2 linked regions of the Callithrix jacchus genome follow. The protein of the gene in region 2 interacts with the protein of the main gene of each other region in a biochemical or structural test. Links are inferred from orthologs where the notes say so. Each region holds a gene or a part of one and is shown on either strand. Other genes may lie near its edges.

Region 1 (4,302 bases), on a different chromosome or scaffold from region 2:
GCTTCCACTGCTGTGCCTGAGGATGCTGTGGCTATTGCTAGGTGGGATGGGAGGAGTGGGAGGGAGATTGTGAAAAGGGAATTGTCTGCTTGACAGGTTTTTGAATTAATAAAGGAGTATAGGCGCAAACTCCAAGCACTTCGCTGTACCTGGCCTAACCTCTGTCCCAGTTGCTCCCTGAGGCCGCTCTGCCCCCACCCCTCTGAAAGCGGCTCTGTGTGGGAACACCTCTGGGGACTGGGAACCCCACTGCCCCCAGGTAAAGTAACCCTGTTTCCTGGCCTGTCTCGGACAGGGATGTAGGCCTCGTTTGATCCTCTTTCAGGACATTTGGCCTTGGATTGTCTGTGGCTTTGGTGGTCCGCTGTGACTTCCTGTCTACTTGAGCCTTGCTAAGGCAGACTCTACTCCCTCCCTCACAAGCAGCCAGGCCTCCAGCAGGTCCTCCAGCATCCATCTTGGCCCTAAGAGGCTCGGTCTGGGCACGGAGTTGTTGAGATCCGGCTGGAAGTCCTTGGGCCAGGGCCAAAGGCCCCACCCGGGCTCCCCCGATGTCCCGCCCCCCCCCGCCCCCTTTATTCTCCCAAAAGAAAGAAGCTGCTTCCCACTTTGGAAACGTTTATTCTGAGCACCGGGAAGGAGAGCGGCGGCTGGCGCCTCACTGGGAGCTCAGCTCTTGGTGTACTCCTCGAGCGCGCTCAGGAAGCTGGCCTTGAAGCTCTCCAGCACGGGCAGCAGGCCTTGGCGAAGGTCCTCGAGCAGGGGCTTGGCCTTCTCGCCGAGTGTGCTCAGATGCTCGCTGGCCTTGGCGTGGTACTCGGCCAGGCTGGCGCCGCCGCTCTCCTTGAGCGCCTCGAGGCGCGTGGCCAAGCGCTGGCGCAGCTTGTCGCTGTAGGGTGCCAGTTGTGTGCGCAGCGTGTCCACGTGGACGCGTGCGCGGTCGCGCACCTGCTCTCCCAGCGAGCTCAGCTTCTCCTGCAGATCCTGCAGCTTCTGGAGCGCGCCCTCCTGGAGCTCCGTGCGCAGCGGTTCTAACTTCTGGGAATAGAGTTTCATCTCCTCCTCCCACTTCTTCTCGAAGTCGTCCAGGTAGGGCTGCACCTGGGCCTTCACCTCCTCCAGGTCCTTGCTCATCTCCTGCCTCAGCACCTCTGTCTCCTTTTCCAGGTTTTCCCAGAACTCCTGGGTCACCGGGCCGAGCTGTTCGCGCAGCTTGTTGACAGTGGAGGTCAAGCTGTCCCAGTTGTCCAGGAGCTTCAGGCTGGACGGGGAAACACAGTGGTTGAGGGCTGGCCTCCCAGCGCCCCAACCAACCCGGGGTGAGTCCTGGGCGACACCTGTCCGCGAAGGTGCAGTGGCCTAGAGTTTCAACACTCTCAAGCAACACCTCTGCCCTGCCCTGCCATGCCCCGTTGTGCAGCTGGACCGAGGCACAGAGAGGAGCTAAGAAAGAGACAGAGCTGGGACTGGTGCCCAGTTCTCTGGTCTCCAAAATGGGCCCTTGAAGGACCTCACCTCTCTGCCTCCAGCATATTCTCCTCTCCCAAGACAGCCCACACTTTTGCTGGGCAGGAGCAGAGGAGGTGACGAAGGGCAAGGGGGCTGCTGCACTTGTAGGCACAAGCTGGCGTTGTTACCACAGATCAGGCAGCCCTGGTCTGACCTTTGCAGGGGGCATGGGCTGTGACTCTGCCCGGGGCTCCCATTCCGGTCTCTGCATCCAGACCATTTGTGGGGCCCAGCTCGTCAGATAGTAGGTGAGGACTCACCAGTCTGGATTCAACATCTTCCCACAGGCCTCTGCCCCCTGCCCCTGCCCTCAACCCCAGGCTGGGTCCTTACTTTAGCTGTTTTCCCAACATGGAGCTTTCAAACTGGGACACATAGTCTTTGCCGCTCTCTTTGACTGAATCCACGTACACAGTGGCCAGGTCCTTCACTCGATCCCAGGGGCTCTGGGGAGGTTCATCTTGCTGCCAGAAATGACGAGCCTGGCTCCCTGAGGGTGGGAGGGGAGACTCAGATCAGGCCAACTGTGGGCTGGGATCTGAGCCAAAAGGCCAGGCTTGGAGATGGGAGAGAGGGGGCCAGTGAGAAACCTGCTGCCTCTGCCCAGGAGGGTGAGCCAAAGGGGTTTAGGGAGAAAGCCCCCCAATGGTTGGTTCCCTAGGCTGGGGGACACCTACCCGTCAGGAAGAGCATGGCCAAGGTCAGCACCGCAGCTTTCATCCTGAAGGGCTGTGGGGGACCTGGAGGAGAAGAAGGGCCTGGCTGAGTGGCGGCAGGAGGGGTGTGTCTCTAGCATGCTGAAGCCCCCTGCTCCCCCCACTCATTACAGCCAGGTGAGGAGAATGTGCACAGAGTGGGAGAAGACCTCAGGTTCCCAGAAGCCTGGCTTGGGGCAGAGCCTGAACCTCGATGCCTCGCCTCGAGCTGGGTAGCCAGAGTCACCCGGGACAGGCAGCAGCACTCACCTCCTTCTTGGGCAGGCAGAAACACTCACCTTCTTCTGGAAGACTAAGTAGCCAGCTCTCGCAGGGCCTATTTATGTCTGCAGCCAGGGGCTGGGCAGGGAGACAGATAAGCCCAGCCTGGGCCCTGCTGCTGCTCACTGGTCCTGGCGATGTGGAACTCAAGAGTTCAAGGATCAGCTCTGTCCCTGGGGAAGGGCAAATACAGTGGGCAAACAGCGAGCTGCCGAGCTGCAGGGCTGCAGGGCAGGGGTCAAGGGTTCAGTGGGGGCGGGAGGGGAGTGGCTGCAGGCTTGCAGGTCTCCAGGGTGGGGTCGGGGTTCCCTGCACTCATCCCCTTCCCCTCCATGGGAGTGTGTGGGCGGTTGCCATTGTCCATTGTGCTGGCAGAGGGGAGGGGAGGGACGCTGGGACTCCTCCACCCAGGAGACCTCCTCCCCCACCATCCTGCATTCCAGGGAGACTACATCACTCCCACCCCTCTTCCCCCACCCCTTCCTCCCACCACTGTGCTTCTTTGGTCCCCAGCAGGTCCTGCAGGCCTCTCTCCAAGTCCCCCAAATTGGTAAACCTGGGGAGAGGGGAGAGGGCTCTGTGGTACCCAGACTGAGGTTTCAGAGACCTCTTGCCTTTCAAAACACAATAGAGACCAATCCAGAGCTGCCAACTTTTAATTTTGTCATGTAAAGATATCGTCTGCCTCCAAAAACCCTCATGTCTACCATGACCATCACTTCAAAAAGGAAAGACTTTAGCAAAAAAAAAAAAAAAAAAAAGGGGGGGGCATAACCTCAGAATAACATTGCAGAGTTGAAGTCCCTTAGAGTGAAGACGCCTTCCTTTGCATTGTTCACACATTTGATGATACACAGGTGAGACGATATCCTAGCCCTTGGAAGCCCTGGTGTGGGAAGAAGACCCCTGGGCAAGGAAGTGGCCGGAGACCTGCTTTCCCGTTTTACTCGGCCTCCATCTTGCTGGAGGAAGACAGTGGGCAAGTTATGTAATCTCTCTGAGCCTCAGTTTCCTATCTGCAAAATGGGGCAAGAATGGTCAGAGTTGTCAGAGGCCCCCGAGACAGCCTGTGAATGCATCCGTTGGTGTTTGCAGCACCATCTTGTAAGGTTTCTCCGGGAAGGCCCAGACCTCCCACAGCAGGTTACTGACAGAACCTGAGTCCTAGAGCCTGTGATGCAGGCTGAGAGGAACTGTGAGATCACTCCAGCCTCTCCCAACACCACCGTCTCACAGATGAAGAGACTGAAGAGCATGAAGGGACTTTGCCCAAAGGCTCTCATCTCTCAGGGAGTTAGAAGAAAGGCTGGACCTAGAACCCGGTCTCTGGACTTAGGACACATGGCAGAAATGTACCCTGCACCTTCAGCCCGGGAAACTCTAGAAACCAGCCTGACGTCTCTGTTTACCAGATCGGGGAGTGGTCGGCCTCATGCCTTTTATTTCAGAGAAGATTCTGGAGCCAGAAAACCTTAGATTTGATTCCCAGCTCTGCCACTTATTAGCTGTTTGACCCTGGATGAGTTATGCTATGTAACCTCCTCACACATAGTTCCTGATTGAAGATAATGATAGAACATGCCATCGCCCTGAGTTATGGCCGGGTTACTGTGTGGATAACATCCCTGAAGATTCCTCATCCCTGGAACCTGTGACTTTGCTACCTTCCATGGCAAAAAATGATTTTGCCAGTGTGATTAAGGACCTTGAGATGGGGTGGTTAGCCTGGATTCTTCAGGTGGGCCCATTGTCATCTCGGGGGTCCTTAATTATGTAAGAGGGAGGCAGCGGAGTCAGAGTCAGAGAAGGAGGGGTG
Region 2 (4,252 bases):
TTTTTTAAAAGGGCAAGAGCCCAGCACAGTGGCTCACGCCTGTTATCTGGCACCTTGGGAGGCTGAGACAGGAAGATCACAAGCTCAGGAGTTAGACCAGCCGGGGCAACATAGCAACACCTCATCCCTACTAAAAAATAAAAATAAGTTAGGTGTGGTGGTGCATGCCTATAGTCTCAGCTACCCAGGAGGCTGAGGCAGGAGGATTGCTTGAGCTAGGGAGATTAAGGCTGCAGCTATGATTGTGCCACTGCACTCCAGCCTGGGTGTCAGAGAGAGACCCATGTCTTTTTTTTTTTTTTAGACAGAGGTTCGCTGTTGTTACCCAGGCTGGAGTGCAATGGTGCGATCTCGGCTCACCGCAACCTCCGCCTCCTGGGTTCAGGCAATTCTCCTGCCTCAGCCTCCTGAGTAGCTGGGATTACAGGCACGCGCCACCATGCCCAGCTAATTTTTTGTATTTTTAGTAGAGATGGGGTTTCACCATGTTGACCAGGATGGTCTCGATCTTTTGACCTTGTGATCCACCCGCCTCAGCCTCCCAAAGTGCTGGGATTACAGGCGGGAGCCACTGTGCCCGGCTGAGACCCTGTCTTAAAAAAAAAAAAGGCAGGTGGGGCTTCCTGAGGACTGGGGTGTGGGGATGCTGGGGGGTGTGGGGATGGTGGAGGGTATGGGGATGCTGGGGGGTGTGGGGATGGTAGGGGGTATGTCGATGCTGGGGGTGTGCTACCTGTTCTCCCTTGGACATGTGTCTGTCTGCTATTTGTGTGGCTTGTGCTGCAATGGGGGTCACAGAGTTGTGGTCCAGGAAGGGGGAAACGAGATGGTGTCTATTTGATGTTTATTGGTGGTGTCTGATGAGTGTTTCTCTCTTCAGACTGTGAGCCAGCTCCCAGGGTACAGCGGGTAGGGAGTAGGTGGTAGCTGTCAGTGCTGGGCCCTGGTGCCACTCCCTAGGGAAGGGCAGGCGGGGCTCTGAGGGTCTGGCGCTAGCTCTGGCAGATCCATCCCTAGTAAAGCACATCCCTGGGCAAAGGCATTCATGCAAATGGAAGGCAGGCAAGGGCCAGTTAGGCAGGTTCTGGGGCTACAAGGAACAAACCTGGGGGCAGCGAGCTGGGGTTTTCTTTCCAGTGTTCACTGCCCCTTTGCCATCACTGACACAGACTCTGGAAGGAGCCACCCTAATTGCTCAGGCCAGGGTCACTGCTCTGGGGGCCAGTGACAGCAAGCTTGCTGGTCCAGGGGTGGTAGACAACACCCCCAGAGGCCACTGTAAGCAGGAGCCGCAGTGAAGGCAGGCCCAGGATCAGCTTCGTCTTACCACCCTCCCCTCTTTGGGCCTAAGTGATCAAGGCCCTCTCACCTGAGGCCAAGACCAGCATGGGTTTGATGGAGCCACCCCAGGGAGCCCCAAGAGAGATGAAGCCATCAATGAAGCGGTCCTTCCAGGCCTGGGGCTGGCGCAGCAGGAAATAGAGCAAGTGTAGGCAGCCGAGGCTGTGACCGATGAGGAAGACAGGCTTCCCATAGGCAGCGTGCATCTCCTCCACCAGCCCCGCGAGCTTGTGGTAGTACTCCTCCTGCTGGCCTGAAGTGGGTGAAAGGGGTCAGGGCAGCTGGGGTGGGGCCACCTGTCCAGCCCCAAGCCTGTCCTCGGCAGAGACTCACCAGGCTCCAGCCGCCAGTCATAGGGGGCAGCACGCACAGTCTCGTCCCGCACGTAGCCATTGTTGACCAGGTTCTGTACCAGCGTGTGCAGGTACCCTGTGGGGGAGGCAGCAGCACTGGGAGCTCGGGCCATGCCTGCTTCGGGCCAGCACCCCGGCCTGGAGCCCCGGCCCTGCTCTCTGACACACACCTGCCAGCTTGCTGCTGTCCAGATACTCCACAGAGTAGGTCTTGCCAAAGCCAGGGACACGGATCTGGACACCAGGGGCGTTGGACACAAGCCCGGAGCTCCGGTTGTAGACAACCCTAGGGGCGGGGTGCCACTCAGCAGCCAGTAGCTGTGGGGCAGCATGTGGGGGCTGGGGTGGAGCACGTGGCTGTACCTGGTGTTATCGATCCAGCAGTCTACCCCGAGGGGTAGGAACATGTTAAGATCCAGCCAGATGGTGAAGAAGTCCTCTGTCTTGCGGTAGCACATCCAGTTCACCACATCTGGTTTGTCCAGCTTGGCTTCTAGCTGATTCCCCAGGCAGCCGGGCACTGTGAGCAGCGGCCCTCACTCTGGACTCTGGATTCCCCCCCGTGACCCTTACCCCAGTCACCCCAGATGCTGCAGTGACCAGATCTGCCCCCCACCTCCCACACCCTCAACCCCTAGGTACAAAGCACACTTACCCTCCCCCGCTCACATCCCCTCTCCCTGCTGTCCCCCCAGTAGCCAAAGCCCAGGCTTTCCTGAGGAAGGGAAGGTGTTGGGGTCGAGGCCGCTGACCCCTGCCTCTACAGAGCAAACACCCATCCTGGCACTCCTTTATTGCCAAAGTCCAAGGTGGGAACAGATAGGTCTGGGGGCGTGGGGGCTGGGCCTAGCAAGGCCAGGCATGGATGGGCCTCTCCTGCTCGATGGCCCTAGGCTGGGCATCCTGTCTTTGGTGGGTGGGGGCCAAGGAAGGAGTGGTGGGGCTTGGCCCAGAGTCTGGTGTGGCTGTGGCTGACCACAGCTTGTGATGCCCCAGCCAAGACCTCAGGCACACCCCATCCCCCACTCTGCCCCCTGAGGTAGGCAACTGAGAGACAAAGCACTGGGGGAGAAGGGGAGGGTCATTCCTCTACTGGATAAGCTTTTGGCCCCTCCCCACACTGAGGCAGATACTGGGGCTTAAACAGGACAGAAGGGCTTTGGCTGGGTCGGCTGCTGGCGCGGTGCATCAGGGGCCTGGCGGGGGCTTACCGAGGATGACAGGCCGTGTGTGGTTACTGAGCTCAGCCTTGGGCGTGGTGTGCGGGGGGAAGAGCACATTGAAGAGCCAGAAGGGGGCGGCAGGAGGGAGCAGCAGCCCCAGCAGCAGCGGCACCCACTGCCATGGGGAGCCAGGCGGCCCCATTCCAGCCCTGGTGCCTACTGCCAGAGAAAGGAGCACTGGGCTGGCCTTATGTGGTGTGGGGGTGGGAGGGGCCCTAGGGCCAGTGGGAGGGACAGCCTGGCCAGTGGGAGTGGTGGCCAGAGATTGCCGGAAAGGGGCACAGCCTCAGGGGCCGGCTATGGGCCTGAAATCAGTCCCGCCTTCTTCTCTTGGCGCCAGGGGAAACAGAGCGGGAGCAGCAGGAGGCCCAGAATACACAATGTTTTATTGAAAAAGTCAGGCCTCAGCTTGCTGTTTCCATTCGGCTCAGCTTGGTGGGGGGCCCTGCCAGTAGTAGACTGAGCCAGATCTTCCTGCAGGCGGCTGGGCTGGACCTCCTCCCTGGCTACCCTTCCCTTCGTCTCTGATGGTGACATCCAAACAATAAATATGCAATAAATAGCGCTCCTGAGCTGGGCTGGGCCGGCTACCTTCAAACCCCACTCGGCCCCCACCAGTCTTCTCTGGCCAGGACAGGCCTACTGGGGTGCTAGATGGTGAAGTCCCCAAACCTCCCAGGGTCCCACAAGACCTCGGCTCCATCTCCATTTAGAGGCCCAGACCTGGTTTCCAAGGAGACCTAGCAAAGCTGGGTCCAGGACAGGGCCAGGCAAGCAGAGCTGGCAGGTGGGTGCTGGGAGGAGGCTGTTACCCCAGACCACAGCTTGTGATATCCCGGCCGCGACCTCCACTCCAGGCCACAAGACGACACTGGGCTCAGGAGTAGATGGTGATGACTTCACGGCCACCACCACGCACCAACAGCACCCGCTCAAGGCCCTCAGTCAGCACCTCGAGGAACTCCATGTCTGCAGGACCTCGGGTCAAGGAGGCAGCACCAAGACCAAGAGGCAACCAGGCAACCACACCCACCCAGGGGCACCTGGTAGAGGAGCTGCCGGTCTGACCTCCCACACTGTCTACCTCCCCACTGCCTGCCTCTCCACAAAGGGATACAGTTTTCATCACCTTCACTGTTCTTGGGTGGGCCAGGCATGTTTAGGAGAACCAGGCGGGCATCGTGGGAGCGCGTGACAATGACTTCATTGAGCTTCACAGCGGTGTGCATACGCCGTACATTGGATTGGTCCCTACATGTAGTGTAGCCAGTCACAGGTCACCATGAGCTGCCCTGGCCCACCTAACACAACTTGTCTGCCCCACCCCACCTCTGC

The links.
Region 1: the proteins of LCAT (region 2) and APOA1 form a complex in vitro, tested with the Homo sapiens proteins (6 studies listed by BioGRID and IntAct, with this or other methods). The link is inferred for Callithrix jacchus from reciprocal best matches to the Homo sapiens genes LCAT and APOA1.

Annotation. Positions count from the first base shown.
Region 1 is NC_133511.1:16,472,925-16,477,226, forward strand, and holds APOA1 (apolipoprotein A-I), read right to left. Parts: upstream 2,678-4,302; 5' UTR 2,504-2,677; exon of another isoform or gene 2,475-2,503; intron 2,250-2,474; 5' UTR 2,230-2,249; coding exon 2,187-2,229; intron 2,000-2,186; coding exon 1,843-1,999; intron 1,262-1,842; coding exon 670-1,261; 3' UTR 602-669; downstream 1-601. UniProt on the Homo sapiens protein: Participates in the reverse transport of cholesterol from tissues to the liver for excretion by promoting cholesterol efflux from tissues and by acting as a cofactor for the lecithin cholesterol acyltransferase (LCAT).
Region 2 is NC_133521.1:25,473,673-25,477,924, forward strand, and holds the start of LCAT (phosphatidylcholine-sterol acyltransferase), read right to left. Parts: upstream 3,082-4,252; 5' UTR 3,060-3,081; coding exon 2,906-3,059; intron 2,243-2,905; exon of another isoform or gene 2,215-2,242; coding exon 2,058-2,214; intron 1,981-2,057; coding exon 1,865-1,980; intron 1,771-1,864; coding exon 1,675-1,770; intron 1,595-1,674; coding exon 1,370-1,594; intron 1-1,369. Other genes in the region: SLC12A4 (solute carrier family 12 member 4), read right to left, coding at 3,795-3,886, 4,035-4,168. UniProt on the Homo sapiens protein: Central enzyme in the extracellular metabolism of plasma lipoproteins.